Linked DNA regions of Struthio camelus. The protein of the gene in region 1 purifies or fractionates together with the protein of each later gene. This does not show direct contact. Links are inferred from orthologs where the notes say so. Each region holds a gene or a part of one and is shown in the gene's direction. Other genes may lie near its edges.

Region 1 (7,233 bases):
CAGATACAAGAGCTGAGTTGAGTGGGCAGGGGACCAGGCAGGATACGTGTGCCCGGCACACCTGAGCTCAGCTTTGGGGCACTCTTCCTCTCCCCCAAGCAAAGCTTGGGGCATGTCCCCATGCCCCATGTCCCTTCTCTTTCGTTATGTCTAGGAGCACCTGGGCTATGGCAGCCTGCTTGGCTGGGGCAGGAATTAGATGAGCAGAGGTATAAAGCTCCTTGTTTGCCAGTGCAGGATGTACAGTGAGAGTAACGCAAGCAGCAGTATTTGTGTTAATAGCCGGGCACCTGCTATTAATAGTTGCCCGTCTTGGAAAATTATGCGGTGTGAACTGGCAATGGTAGCGATGCTTCCAGTGACATGAGATGTACCGACAGCATGTTCAGATCTTATTCCATGCAGTCATATAGAGATGTATGATTTGTGGTTGAGAAAGAGAGTTAAGGCAGCACAGTAGTATCCGTGTAAGTCACCCTAGCAAAGTACAGAAATAAGCCAGAAGCTTGTTTCTACACAGGAAGCTACTGTGATGCTTAGTAGAAAAGATCTTGCAGATCGTTTACTCCACGTGTGCCAATTGTTATTCTTATATTTACTTTTCTGTTGCCTACCTCAGTTAGTGAATAAGCTGGTGCTGCAGATCCCTATTCACAGTTTAAAACATTTAAAAATCTGTTTCTGAGTGAGGCAAAGCTTCCCTGGAAAATGCAGCATTGACACTGACTAAGGAAACTGAGGTGACAGGTAAAACCTGGGTGTAAAAATGATAATAATAATAAAAGTGTAAGAACTCTCCTGAGATAATGCTACGGTCACGTGTTGAAATACTGGATGGATTGATGGTGGAACTTACTGTAATTAAGGTTTAACTCCAGCATCCGTGTGTGTATCTGTCTCGTCCTTTACACACCACTGTACAAACAAACAGTGGAAGAGAGCAAGAATCGGAGTATTTAAACAAAAAAAATCTACATTTTCATCAGGGAAGTTCTCTAGCAGCAGCCTGATCTGGGGAGATTCAAACACAATAGCTGGAATAAGCAGCTCTTGAGTGATAACCCCAGTACTGCCACTAATACTCCGCCCAAGGCAAATTATTTTACATCTATAAAATGGAAATGATAGATACTAACCTGCCTTACAGGAGATTTGTGAAGATAAATTAGTTAATGTTTATGCAATGTTTTGAACATGTCATGCCATAAAGCTCAAAGAATTATTACCTCAGTGAGGACTCTTAGAATACAAACTGCAACGCAAACTACAATGTCCGCAATCTCAAATACCATGCAAATGAAACCTGAGCAAGCCAGATTTAAAAGCCCTGCTAATTCAGCTCTGTCTCATTTCTTTTCTTCCGAGAAGAGGCCTGCCCTTTAAAATCACTTGTGCAAAACGCAGGAAAGAACAGCAGTGCCATCCGCGAGCAGTTGCTTATGAATTATTTTGGAGGGGCAAATGCCCCGTTTATCAGTGGATAATTAAAATCTATCCTTTTTTGGTTTTATTCAAGGAAGAAATCAAGCTGCAGGGACGACTTTGCTCTTGAAAGGATTTTGAGACTTTATTCTGTTTTGAGAGAATGTGGAAGGGGGGGACAGGAAAATTGATCCCACTTTTCCCACTTTTTCCACCAGTAGGGCAGTCAGTGGCTCTCCCTCTGTTGGCTCCTGCTCTCCGCGCGTGGCGGAGAGACCAGCTCAGCAGCACGGGCCGCAGCTGGGGAGCAGTCGCGGTTCTGCTCTCCCATCCAGCAGTATCCGCATGTGAAGGAACTTTCTCTTTAGCTGGACTTTACTTCCTATGTCAGTGCGTTTATGCTTCATATCTGGAAGATAAGTATACAATACAAAGCAAGTGAGTCCCAGAAAAGCCGAAGAAAGATTTTGCGTTTAGTATGATATTCTCACTAGGTAATATTAATTTAACGCTAGTTGTCGAAAGGTCGACCTTTGTTTCGTGGCCGTAGATTCATGCACACATGCAGCTGGTATTTAAAGTTTTGCAACGCGAAGGAATATTGCATGCCCATGCTCAAATTTGCGTAGTGACATTAGCCTCAAAGGAGTTATATCAAATGCAATCACTGGGTACGTGACCAGCTTTTTGGGAAAATGTCATATTTAAATTTAAACTGTTCCAGAAATTGTTCACTTGTGTAAATAGGAAACAGCAGAAGGCTTGAAAGACTCGACCGTGATCATAAGCATCCAAGTCCTCGGGTCTTACAGTCCCTACGTTATCTTGTGACTCTCACAAGTAGAGGACAAATGTCATGAAAATAACACATTTGGGCTCAAACAGGTGGGAAGACAAAAGTGATGGCAGCTTGCTGCACAGCCCCGTCAGTGGTACTGCAATGCCAGCATCAGACTAGATTTTCCTATAGTGAATTTTTAGAGGGTGGGGAAGAATTTAAAGGGGAATTTGCTGAGTCTTCCCTTGCCCATCATGTTCAGTTTTACATGGAGTCACATAAGGACAGCTCATGATGGGAGGCAAAGTGAGTATGACAGATTCCTGCTCAGAATGGCAGGTAGAATCACAATTGCATGAAAAATTCTTCAGCAAAAATATTTGTACGTTAGTATGTTAGGACTGGACTTTGACAAGTTTTTCCATTCAATTCATACATCAGAGATGGGGTTTTTTTCCTGTCTTGAGCTCATTTTTCCGTTATCACTCTGGTGATATCACTCTGAACTTTCCTTTCTCAAATGTAAAAAACTCCATTGCTTTCAACAGTTGTGTCTTGATATAATATATTTAAAGACACATGTTTTTATTTAATATTTGTCTACAGCACTGATTTGAGGTTTGTTTCTATTGTGTCTTAATTGTACGTCCTTATAATGAAAGCTGCAATCTTTAACATTTTTTGAGGTTGCTTTTGCAGCCCTCCCTCCTGAGAAGCTGATTTATTTTCCTGGGCATGTAATTTTTAAAAACCCTCCTATTTGTCCAAATAAATGAAAATCAATTGTATACATGTAATAGTTATGAGGCTGCACTGTATGAGCATCTTTGAAGGAAACAGCATGAATGTTGTATTGATAGATCAAATGCCGGCATCAGTTACAGCCATGAAACCAATCACATGAGTAGAGTTGCTCCCATGTTACCAATGCATGAATTTACTTCAAAGAACTTCTTTGCATCATTTACAAAATACAATCAAAACAGATTGTCAGCTATAGCATGCAAAAGCTGCACGGCGAGAAACTCAGTTGTAACCCAGTTTATCTTAATAAATCATTACAGGTGTGATGGGACACATGGTTAAAGGCCTCTGCTCAAGCATGTTTTTTGTGCTAATATAAGTAAATGGGACAGTTTTTCTATGTCTAGTTGGGTCAGGAAGTAGTTAAACTATCAGGAAAAGATAGTGCAGAGGAAGTTGCCTGGCAGGAGAACAGTAATGCAGCACAAAACATGCATCATCGGGGAAAGTCAAGATACACTCAGTGGCTCTTTTGCAATCTATTGTGTTCCAACACGTTGTGATAGACAGAGGCATTTAGCACATCATCTCCCAAACCCTGTGTCATTACGGACCTCGGTGCTGGAGTTCCCAATTAATCATAGCAGTTCCTGGGCTTCCTATCCTATTGCCTATGTGACTGAAGACCTCAGTCTTCGCAAGAGCGTTATGAAGAAATTAGCAACAGCATTTAACAAATCTGGAGGTTGACTCAGGAGGTGGCAGCAGACTGACTTGACTCGGGGAGATCCCGGCCGGGACGAGTGCCACTTCTGCGTCCCGATTTACACGCCTGTCTGACGAGACGCTGCTTCCTCCCGGTTTTGGGGAAAGGTGTTGGGTTAAAACCAAGACGCTCTAACCACAAGCATATACCACTAAATACTGAACAGCGTGCTTTGCCCTCCTGGGACGGGGTTGGGGGGTGGGGAAGGAGGGAGGAGAAGTCCGCATAGGCGCTTTTGCTTCGTGTCCGTGAATTTCGCCGGAGCCCCCGGGGAACACTTGTGTCCCTCAGCCTGTTTGCTCAGTAACTTCCTCCGCGGAGCGACTGCTCGCTGCCAGCGCCAAGGGCGCGGAGCGGGGCCGCCCCCTGCCCTCGCCCCCCCACCGCGGCACAGGTGGCGGGGCCGCCCTTCCCCACCTGGGCGGGGAAGGCGCCGCCGGTTCCTCCTCCTCCTCCTTGCTCCCGCCCCATCCTCCTCCTCCTCCTCCTCCGCGGCGTCCCCAGAGGGAGCCGCTGCGCTCCGCGGCCGGGCGGAGAGCGCAGCCGGGCGCGCCCCGTCCCGCAGCCGGCGCCAGCCGCTCCGCCACCCCGCGCACCCGTCGCTGCCGAGGACGACGAGGAGGAGGAGGAGGAAGCAGGAGAGGAAGGCAGGCAGGCAGGCAGCGGGCACGCACGTGTGCGCGCAGCCCTCGACGGCGCGGCATGCTGCGGGGAGCAGCCGCGGAGCGGGGCTGAGCGCGGCCGCGGCAGGAGCGGGGCAGCTCCGCGGAAAGCTTCTCCGTGCGCTCCAACCGCGCCGCGCCGCACCGCGGGAGCGGCCGTCCCGCAGCATGGGCGGCCGCAGCGCCGCCGCCGCCGCCGGGCCCCGCGGGGCCGCTGTCCCGGTGCTGCTGCCGCCGCCGCCGCTGCTGCTGCTGCTGCTGCTGCTACTGCTGGGGCGCGTCGCCCACTGCTCCGTCGTGGAGGAGAAGAAAGGTACGGGCCGCGCCGGGGGCGCCCCGGGGGCGGGCGCGCCGCTGCCTCCCCTTGGGAGCGGCGCAGGGAAAGTCCCAACTTCTTTCCTTTAAAAAAAAAAAAAAAAAGGGAGAGAGAGGAGGAGGGAGAAGAAAGAAAGAAAAAAAAAGCAAACCTATAGCAGCGATCACGCAGTCTGACTTCCTGATTCTAGGCTTATTTTCTTTTGTGGGGGTGGAGGAAATAAAAGGGAATAAACCTTGGCACATCCCATCGGTTGTACTTTTTTTCCTCCTTTGCCTTTCCCCCCCCCTTTGCTTTTCTCTTCCCCCCCCCCCAATCCCCTTCCCGCGTTGCCCAATCGCTCCGCGGAGCGCGCTCCGGGCCGCCCTGGCTCAGCCGCGGGGCGGCCGCCGGGCCCCGCTCCGCACCGCACCGCCCCGTGCTGCCGCCCCCCGCCGGGGCCGGACCCCGCGGAGCGGCGCGGGGGCTGCGCGGCCGCGCCGCCCCCCTGCGAGTACCGCTCCGGCAGCCCCCGCCCGCCGTCGGGTCGGTCGCCTTGACCTGGCGTCGCTGCTCGTCCCGCAAAAAGATCCGCACCTGGGCGGGCGGGCGGGGGGAGGGGGGAAGGAAGGTAGAAACAGGGAAAACTTCATGTTCTTTCTGTTTCTGCCGGTTAAATAGGAGTTATTTATCCCGGTCCCTCCCGGCCCGACCTGGCCGGCCCTCCCTCGTCCCGCCGCGGCGTGACCGCCCGGCTCCGCGGTGCGTGGGAACGGCGCGGAGCGGGCTGCCGCCGGCTCGCCGTTTTCTTTTTTCCTTTTTGGAGAAACTGGTTTAGAGGGTGAGAAAACGTTTCTGGCTGATCAGATCCGTCGCTTTTTCTCTGTGTGTGGTGTTCCCTTTTGTGAGTTTCAAGAGCAGGCCCCGACTGCTGTTCCAGGCAGAGTGCAGTCGTCTTTATCTTGGAAATCTGCCAGTAGTGAAAAAAGCAGATTTTTTTTCCCTTTCTTTCTTTTTAAATATAAAGCGGGAGAAGGGAATTAATAGTTTCTGGAAAGGCTGCATGGCTTAAAACAACTGAATTAGTCTTTCATGACTGTGGACGGAAACATACCTTTCTAAAGCGCTAGTTGCACAACCTTAAAAAAGTCAAGAGATTCTCTTGTTCCAGCAATCAAGTTCATACCTGTTGTTGATGTAATGCAGGCAGTTTTTCTTTCCTTCTTTTCTTTTTTTCTTACGCTCTTTGAAAATGATGGGAAGCAAGCTGACTCCCTCTGCTGAGCTTGTGCTAAGTCTTTTGAAATGCAATCTCAGGTGCGTATGCCCTGTAGAATATGTAGATTCTGAGGAGGAATATCTTGTTTATAGTGCTTGATACTGTATCTCATAATATGATGAGGGTACCGGTTATTTGAGGATTGCTGGATAGCCAACAGCCAAGTGATAAACCCGCTAGAGTTTATTCTCAGTATGTTCTGTTAGTAAATAACTGTATGAGAAGAACTTGCAGCTCAATGACAAAGATGAAGGCAGAACAAAGTCTTCAAGAAGCCTGAATTAATTGATTGGTCTTTATTGCTCCCTACTTCAGCAAGAAAGTAAGTCAGTGGTACATAATCAAGTTGCATTTGAGAGTGATGAGATACCACAGGTAGTGGACCATCCACATATGTCTAGACTCTACCTCCTGGGTCAAGCGATAGGATCCCAGCATCAGAATTTGGCATTATTTTGAAAGTAAACATGCTGTAACAAACCTGTGCCGTGCTGACAAGCTACAAGATAAAATTCTGTTGCTACAGGAAGTTCAAATGACATAGGAATTCATACTTTTTGAAACTACATAATTTCAGCCTGATTCATTCTATTGCCCAAAAGAGGAGATACCTCAAAGAAATAGTGCTGGTGCACAAATGTTATTCTTGTCAGAAGAATGTCAAAATCGCCCCATAAAATCTGATCAATATAATATTTGAATGGAAATTTAAATACAGTTGTGTCTTTTCCCAAAACTTTAGAATGAGATCTTTGAATATGGATGAGAGAAAACTAGTTTAGCTGTAACACCCTAGTCATTAAGATATTAAAAAAATATATCCAAAAGCAAGTGGTGGTGTTAGAAATTGAAATAACACTCACAAGCATCAATACCTGCTGTATATGCTCTAATGTTGACCCAGATTAATAATAGTGGAACTAATCTGGATTTCCTTTCATGTACTCAGGATGGCCTGTTAAGTGGTACCTAAGATAAATACCTGTGATAGCAGGCATGCTGCTTATTGCAGAATGCACATGACCAATGTCCGTTTTGTGTGTCAGTGCTCAGTGATAACACTGCGATTGAAGCAAAATGGTTTTTGTTGGGGTTTTTTTATCGTTCGCTTGGATCTGTAGTTACAGCCACTGTGGGCCAGGAGCGCACTGCTGTATGCTGGGAGCATGCGTGCAAACGCGCTGGGCAGCTCCGTAGCTGCAAAAGTTCTCTGGTGCCTTTTTGTACCTAATGCTTTATACTGCTTTTTGAAAAACAAAGGGAAAGTAGATTCCTTAAGGGTATTGA
Region 2 (7,158 bases), on another chromosome or scaffold:
GCACGGCTCGCCGCCCCGCCGGCCCGCTCCGCTCGGGGCTCGTCTGCCCGCCGGCGGCGCGGGAGAGGGGGCAGCCCGGGCGCCCGACCGCGGGCAGGGCAGCCGGGAACGGCCAGACCCCGACTCCGGCTTTGCGCCCAGCAGGCAGCCACAGCCCCTCTCCGAGCGCGGAGGGGAGGGGGCTGCCGGAGGGGCCGCGGGGCAGGGGGGCTGGGGCCCCGGCCCTGCGCCCAGCTCCTCTTTGCAGCCTCCTCGCCGCCTCGGCACCTAAGCGCCGGCTCCGCCGGGTGGCACCGCGTCCCGTTTGCGCCTCGAGCTTGTGCCCGGGGACGGGGAAGGCCGGCGAGGGGACGAGGAGGCCAGAAGGAGAGCGCGCTCACCGCCGCCGCGGCGCTCGGGACCGCCAGCGGGCTGGTGCGGCGGCGAGGTGCGGGAGCAGGGTTTCCGCCCGCGCTCTCCTCTCCAGCACCCGTCGCCCCGCGGGCGCGCGTGGCCCCGCCGGACGCCTCGTCTCCCCCGGCCTCCGGCCCCGATCCCGCCAGGACTTACCCCAGAGGAGCAGAGCCGCGCTCCTCGCCATCCCGGCCGGCTCCGACTCGCCCGGCCGGCTGCTGACGCTGGGCCACCTCCCCTTTGCATAACTGCTATTTGGAGAAAAGGAAAAGGAAGTGGCTTGTGCTCCCCCCCCTGGGGCATTTCCCCCATCCTCAGTGGCCAGGACAACACAGCGAGCAGCACCCAGGGGCTCGGGATGGGCCTTTGTGGGTGCCAGCTGCTTGTCGCCACCGAGCCGGCGCAGAGATGTGGCTGGCGGCAGCAGGGGGCCGGGTGCTCAGGTCTTCCCGCACGTGGCCAGCATTGAGCCAAGGGGCGACAGGAGCCGACAGAGGGTTTGGAGCTGCTAACCCCATCTCCGGGCTGGGCAGCTGGGCGAAACGGTCTCTGAGTGATGCAGCACCTCTTGGACAGGTTCCCAGCACCGGCTCTGCCGGGTCGTGCGCAGTGACCGTAACATGTCCTCTGTCACCCACGTGTGTCTGATCACTTGCAGATGCTTTGATAAGCAAATGATCTGGTGAGAACTGAAGCGAGCTGTGTTGTGCAGCCCCCGATTCTCAGCAAACAGTGAAAAAGAAGGAGAGCCCCCAGGCTCCCCCTCTGCGGTTCCCGCGGCTGCCCCTGGGGCCAGCGGGGACAGTCACCCCGTGGGACACGGGTGCACGGGCAGACAGCCTGACCGTGCTGCTGGAGGGGTCAATCCAGTCTCTTTTCTTTGCTCAGCAGGTTTATTGGAAGCAGACAGCTCGCCCTGCTCGCAGCCCTCGCTGCGGCTCCGCAGCACAGGGCATGGAGCGATCCAGGGCTTGCCACCCCGTCCTTGCAGGCTCCAGTACCTCTTTTTCAGGCTAATACTTTGCAACAGGTTAATATAGATACCGTATACCTATGCAATGGGTTACTGTGTATCAGATATACCTATGCAACAGGTTATTGTATAAAGAATATATATATGCAATGGGTTATTATATTAACATATGTGAGAAAGCTGAGGGTCCGGTTGGAGCCGTGTGTTTCCTGAGCACCTCTGAAAGCCGCTGCCGGTCGGTGTTTCTCGCTAAGCCGTAGACGCGTGGCCGGGTGGTGATGGCGGGTCGACAGGCGGCGAGCGCAGAAGTCTGGCAGGGGTAGGGGAAAAAAAGCAAACGAGGTTTTAAACCAAACGTTTCCCCCCCGAAGGGAAAGGGCGGCAGCCGGAAGGGGAGGGAAGGGCTCCTGCGGCAGCACTGCCCCAACGCGACGCATCTGCGGAGGGGGTTTTGCCCATCCGCTTCAGAGCAGCAACCGCTTCACACGTGTGCATCGCTGCTGCAGGTGCTCCCTTGTTTTTTGAAGGAGCCGATGTGTCTAGAGCCAGTAAAAAGCTAAATGCATGGTACGCCGCAGGGTAAAGTCACACAAATTTCCGTCGGTGGCGTGGGGCCAAGGTCACAGCCTGGGTTTTGTTCCGTGAGAGTGCAAACACACACGAGCGTGCATGCTCACACATGCGGTGCCCGAGGGAGCCGCTTACCTCGCCGCTACCAGCAGCAGCGGGGCAGGAGGAAACCAAGGGCGGCAGCGACGAAGACCGGGCTCATCCTCGGGTGCCAGCGGCAGGAGGCCGATCGGCCTGGCCCTGGGGAGAGAGCGCGGCCGTCACGGGGGACCTCTCCGGGGAGGGGACGGGAGGTCTCCGTGGTGGCCCCTCACCTCCTCTGGTGCCCGTCGAGGAGCAGCCTGGAGTCGACGAGCAGCTGTCCCCGGCGGTCCCGTTGTCCTTGGGTACCTGCACCCCGGGGCCCTTCGTTGGGAGCCCCGAGGGCATTTGAGCAGGGGGACAAAGTGGGGGTCAGGGTAAGCGAAGGACTCAAAGCCAGGGGCTTATGTGCCCCCCAGCTTTTCCAAGGATTAACTCCATCCTCTGCCTCTCCTCCAGCCAGGGCAGAGGTGCCGGGGAGAGGGGAAAGGACGGGGGAGCCCCAGCCCGGTGACACCCACTGCCACGGCGCTCAGCACCCAGCCAGCCCCAACCTACGGGGGGGAGGTGGTCCCACGGCGGCGGGAAGAGGGCCGGGGGGCTCTCGAGGGACGAAGTCAAGCCCTGGCTGCTGTACGACAGGTACACGCAGGAATAGGCGCCGGGCAGCGCCCTGTCTTCGATGGTGGGCGACGAGGCGTTCCTGAAGTTCTTCTTGGGGCCCTGGGGCTGTGACCGCCAGTAAAATCGGTACATGGTCACGGACGAGGTGATGGGAGCCAGGCACCGCAGGGTGACGAGCTTGTCCTGGCTGGAGCCGTGCAGGCTGAAGTGCGATGGGAGGATGCTCAGGAAAGGGGCTGGCAGGAGGTCTGCAAGGGAAAGGCTCCGGGCAGCGGGGCGGGCGGGCGGGCGAGCGGCTCCCCGCGGCGGACGGCACCCTCCTTACCTGCGGGGTGCCCGGGCTGCGGCAGGGTCTGGAGCCAGGCTGCGGAGAGACGGGGGGAGCGGTGAGAGCTCGGCGGCACCACGAAGGGCCGCTTTGGGCCGGGCGGGGAGCGGGATGGCACTTACTCAGCAGAGGCAGGAGCAGAGCGAGAGCCATGGCGAGCGGAGTGGCGCTGGGTAGAGCTCGAGCATCCCAGCCCGAGACCTCTTCCCGCACCTTTTCTTGGAGGGGAAGGAAAGGTCCTTCCCCTGCGGTCCCCGCGGCAGGGAGACAAAGGCAGGAAACGCCACAGCCCACCCCGCTGGGCTTCCTCTCCCCCAGGAAGCCCACGGGGCAGGCCCGGCCCAGCGAGGGCAACCCACCGCAGCCCCGAGCAGCGGCAGCCGCGGGCAGCCGTGATGGGCACAGCTGGGCACAGCTGGGCACAGCTTGCCAGGCCCCGGCAGCTGCTGTGGGGACGTGCTCCCCCCGTCCTGCCAGCCCCCCCGGCTCCCCCCGGGGCCGGCGGGAGCGGCTTCGCCAGCCGGGGGGACGCGGCTGCCCGGGTGCCCGGTTCACGGGGGGATGCGGCTCCCTGGGGCTCCCCAGTTCGGGGGGGGACGTGGCTTTGCCGTTCACAGGGGATGCGGCGCCCCGGTGCCCGGGGGGGGACGCGGCTGCCCGGCTCACGGGCTGCCCGGGGATGGGGGGGGGGGGGGGACGCGGCTGCCCGGCTCACGGGCTGCCCGGGGTTGGGGGGGGGGACGCGGCTGCCCGGCTCACGGGCTGCCCGGGGATGGGGGGGGGGGACGCGGCTGCCCGGCTCACGGGCTGCCCGGGGATGGGGGGGGGGGGGGGGGGGACGCGGCTGCCCGGCTCACGGGCTGCCCGGGGATGGGGGGGGGGGACGCGGCTGCCCGGCTCACGGGCGCCCCGGTGCCCGGGGTGGGGGGGGGGGGGGACGCGGCTGCCCGGCTCACGGGCTGCCCGGGGATGGGGGGGGGTTGGGGGGGGGGGACACCGCGAAGCCCCTCGCGGCGCGGCGCGGCCCGGCCGGAGCCCCGCGCTGCAGCTCCGCGCGGCGCCGCCAGGGGGCAGCGGGGCGTCCTGGCCGGGAGCGCGCTGCGGCGCCGCCTGGGGGGCGCTCGCGGAACGGCGTGGGGCGGGGCGTGGGGCGGGGCGTGGGGCGGGGCGTGGGGCGGGGCGTGGGGCCTCAGGGGCGGAGCTTGCTAGGCCGGGCCCCGCCCTCCGGCGGAGGCGGAGCGGCGCGAAGATGGCGGCGGAGCCGGGCCCGGGCCCGGACCAGGAGCTGGACGAGTTGCTCGACAGTGAGCGGGGCCGGGGCAGCGCCCGGGCCGGGGGGAGCCTAGGGCTGGGGGGGTGGTCGGGGGGGGCAGCAGCGGGGCCGGGGGGGGAGGTGGTCGTGGGGGGGGCAGCAGCGGGGCCGGGGGGGGGTGGTCGGGGGCGGCAGCAGCGGGGCCGGGGGGGGGTGGTCGGGGGGGGGCAGCAGCAGCAGGGCCCGGGGGGGTGGTCGTGGGGGGGGCAGCAGCGGGGCCGGGGGGGGTGGTTGGAGGGAGCAGCGGGGCCGGGGGGGGGTGGTTGGAGGGAGCAGCGGGCCCGGGGGGGGGGGTGGTCGGGGGCAGCAGCAGCGGGGCCGGGGGGGGGTGGTCGGGGGCAGCAGCAGCGGGGCCGGGGGGGGGTGGTCGGGGGCAGCAGCAGCGGGGCCGGGGGGGGTGGTCGGGGGCAGCAGCAGCGGGGCCGGGGGGGGTGGTCGGGGGCAACAGCAGCGGGGCCGGGGGGGGGTGGTCGGGGGCAGCAGCAGCGGGGCCGGGGGGGGGTGGTCGGGGGCAGCAGCGGGGCCGGGGGGGGGGTGGTCGGGGGCAGCAGCGGGGCCGGGGGGGGTGGTCGGGGGCAGCAGCGGGGCCGGGGGGGGGGTGGTCGGGGGCAGCAGCGGGGCCGGGGGGGGTGGTCGGGGGCAGCAGCGGCCCGCACCCCACAGCAACTTTCTGCTGCCCCAAGAGCGGTGGTGCCATGCCCCGGGGCTGGGAGACCTCCCCTCGCCTGTCCCACAGGCATCCCACCCCGATGCTGCCTGGGGCCAGGAGTTTCAGGGTCAACCCCTGCTTGGGGTGCTACAAGCCGGGACCCCCCGTCCCTGCCCCTTGTCGCACCGTCCTCGGCCGGATCCCCGCTTACCTGGCCCGGCCCCGCTCCTGTCCCCAGGTGCCCTCGACGACTTCGAGAAGGCCAGGCCCACCGCCCCACCGCCGCCTGCCCCCACAGACCCTGGCCACTCCGAAAAGTCTCCCAGCGATGCAGCCAAGGTGCGACGCCATCAGGACGTGGCCTCCCTCTGCCGCTGCCGGCTTGCCGGGGCTGGAGGAGCTGGGCAAGGGGGGGAAGAGCCCTGTTGCAGGGCTGTTTTTGCCACGGGCCAGTATTTGCCCTCTGCGAGGTTGGAAAGCAGCATCTCCTGGGGCTGCTCTGTCGCTGCCAGCTGCAGCCCTTCCAGGCATCCAGAGCAGGGCACAGCTCTGACTGTGCCCGTTTCCCTCAGGAATCACTCTTCGCCTCCCAGGAGAAGTTTTTCCAGGATTTGTTTGACAGCGAACTGGCCTCGCAGGCCACAGCGGAGTTTGAGAAAGCCATGAAGGAGCTGGCTGAGGAGGAGCCGCACTTGGTGGAGCAGTTTCAGAAGCTGTCAGAGGCAGCAGGCAGAGTCGGTGAGTGGTGCTGAGCCCCTGTGCGTGCAGGGAGTAGGTGCTGGGCTGTGGGCAGCCCACAGCTGCCATTGAGAACCCGATTCTCCTCTGCCGGGGAGAGGCTTTCTGTGGATAACTCTTACCCCACCTGGGTCCTGGGAGCCCCTCGGCCTGCAGTGATCCCAGCTGAAGCCAACTTTGCAAAGGGAGCTTCCCTCAGGATTTGGCCTCTCTGCCTTTCTCCTTCGACTGTCCTCTTAGTCCCTATGGAAGAGGAGATCCCACCTTAACCCAGCTGTGGAGCATCCCCTTGGAGCCTGCTCATCCTAAATCCCCGCCACGCAGAGGTAATCTGCGTGACATGGATTCCTCAGGAGAAGTTTGGGCTCAATCGGAACGTCGTCTTGTCATGATTAGCACTGGGGGTATATGGAGAAGTGGATGTGAAAGCAAGATCCTTCCTCCGCCTTTCCTTAGCAGCCTTCTCAGCTATGCTGGAAGGCTGGTAACAAGTTGTGTGTCACTGGGATGTCTGACTGCAATTAGAAGCACCGTGGAGCCACTTGGGGCTTAATTATGCTCCCTTAATTAGATTGGGTTTACTCCAGGAGTGTTGAAAAGCACTTGCAGGACGGTCATGCGTGGACCTGTGCAGCTGCCAAAGTCGCTCGTGGGCTCCCTGGGAAGGAGATGCATGTCAGTGCATGTCAACATGCCAATGTCACTCACTGAGAGCTTTCCCCCGTGCCCGGGACGTGGCAGGCTGGACGCAGTCAGCCTCTTAGTGGATTTAAAGCAAGCAGCGAACCCCTCAGTTAGTGGACCACAGGTCCAACGCTCAGTTGGTTTCACCACTACGAGGCTTGTTTCAACCTGGTGAACTCTTCAGGTAGCGCAAGACCGGTTTAAAAATAAATCCTGCCTTGCCAGGCTTACGCTGACATCCACATTGGCCCCAGCAGCCGTTCCCAGGGTCGAGGTCTCGGCTCGCAGCCAACTCTGCTGCTGGCTGGGCCAGGAGTCTGTTACCAAGGGCACGGGCAGAGCAGCACATGCTGCCCGAGGGTAAGATTTCCTGGCTCCGTGTGCCAGGGTTTGGCATGCTGGACTCTGGGATGTCGTCTGTGTGCCGTGGTAGCAGTTGGATTGCCCTGCCCTGCCGCCTAGCACTGCACCATGAGCTAAAGGGCAGAAGATCCTTCTTGGCCCCTTGGGATGGTTGAGCAATCGCTGTTGTCACCGGTTGTGCAGGGCAGAGGTTTGTTTGGTAACAGACAGGACAAAGTGTGCCTTCACAGGAGGGGATGCATGAACGTGGCTCTCGGAGGGCATCAGCAGCTGGCGTTTCTTCAGTGTGGACTGTGGAGAGCTCCCAGAGGACTTTCCACAGACTTGGGCAGGGAAGGTCTTAATTTAACTCTGGGCAGGTCAGTGTTTCAGTTTCCCTAGGAGTCCTGCCGTGACCGAATCTGAGGCTGTTTTCTTTCTCTGGCCATTGGACAACGCAGGAT

Evidence for each region. Proteins that work in one complex are often made in the same cells at the same time.
Region 2: the proteins of EGFR (region 1) and PEX19 purify together in Homo sapiens (co-immunoprecipitation; 3 studies listed by BioGRID and IntAct, with this or other methods). This does not show direct contact. The link is inferred for Struthio camelus from reciprocal best matches to the Homo sapiens genes EGFR and PEX19.

What each region holds. Positions count from the first base shown.
Region 1 is NC_090943.1:60,447,850-60,455,082, reverse strand, and holds the start of EGFR (epidermal growth factor receptor), read left to right. Parts: upstream 1-4,229; 5' UTR 4,230-4,540; coding exon 4,541-4,685; intron 4,686-7,233. UniProt on the Homo sapiens protein: Receptor tyrosine kinase binding ligands of the EGF family and activating several signaling cascades to convert extracellular cues into appropriate cellular responses.
Region 2 is NC_090971.1:621,047-628,204, reverse strand, and holds the start of PEX19 (peroxisomal biogenesis factor 19), read left to right. Parts: upstream 1-4,150; 5' UTR 4,151-4,218; coding exon 4,219-4,273; intron 4,274-5,168; coding exon 5,169-5,269; intron 5,270-5,502; coding exon 5,503-5,668; intron 5,669-7,158. Other genes in the region: Fc receptor-like protein 4, read right to left, coding at 550-644, 907-911. UniProt on the Homo sapiens protein: Necessary for early peroxisomal biogenesis. Acts both as a cytosolic chaperone and as an import receptor for peroxisomal membrane proteins (PMPs).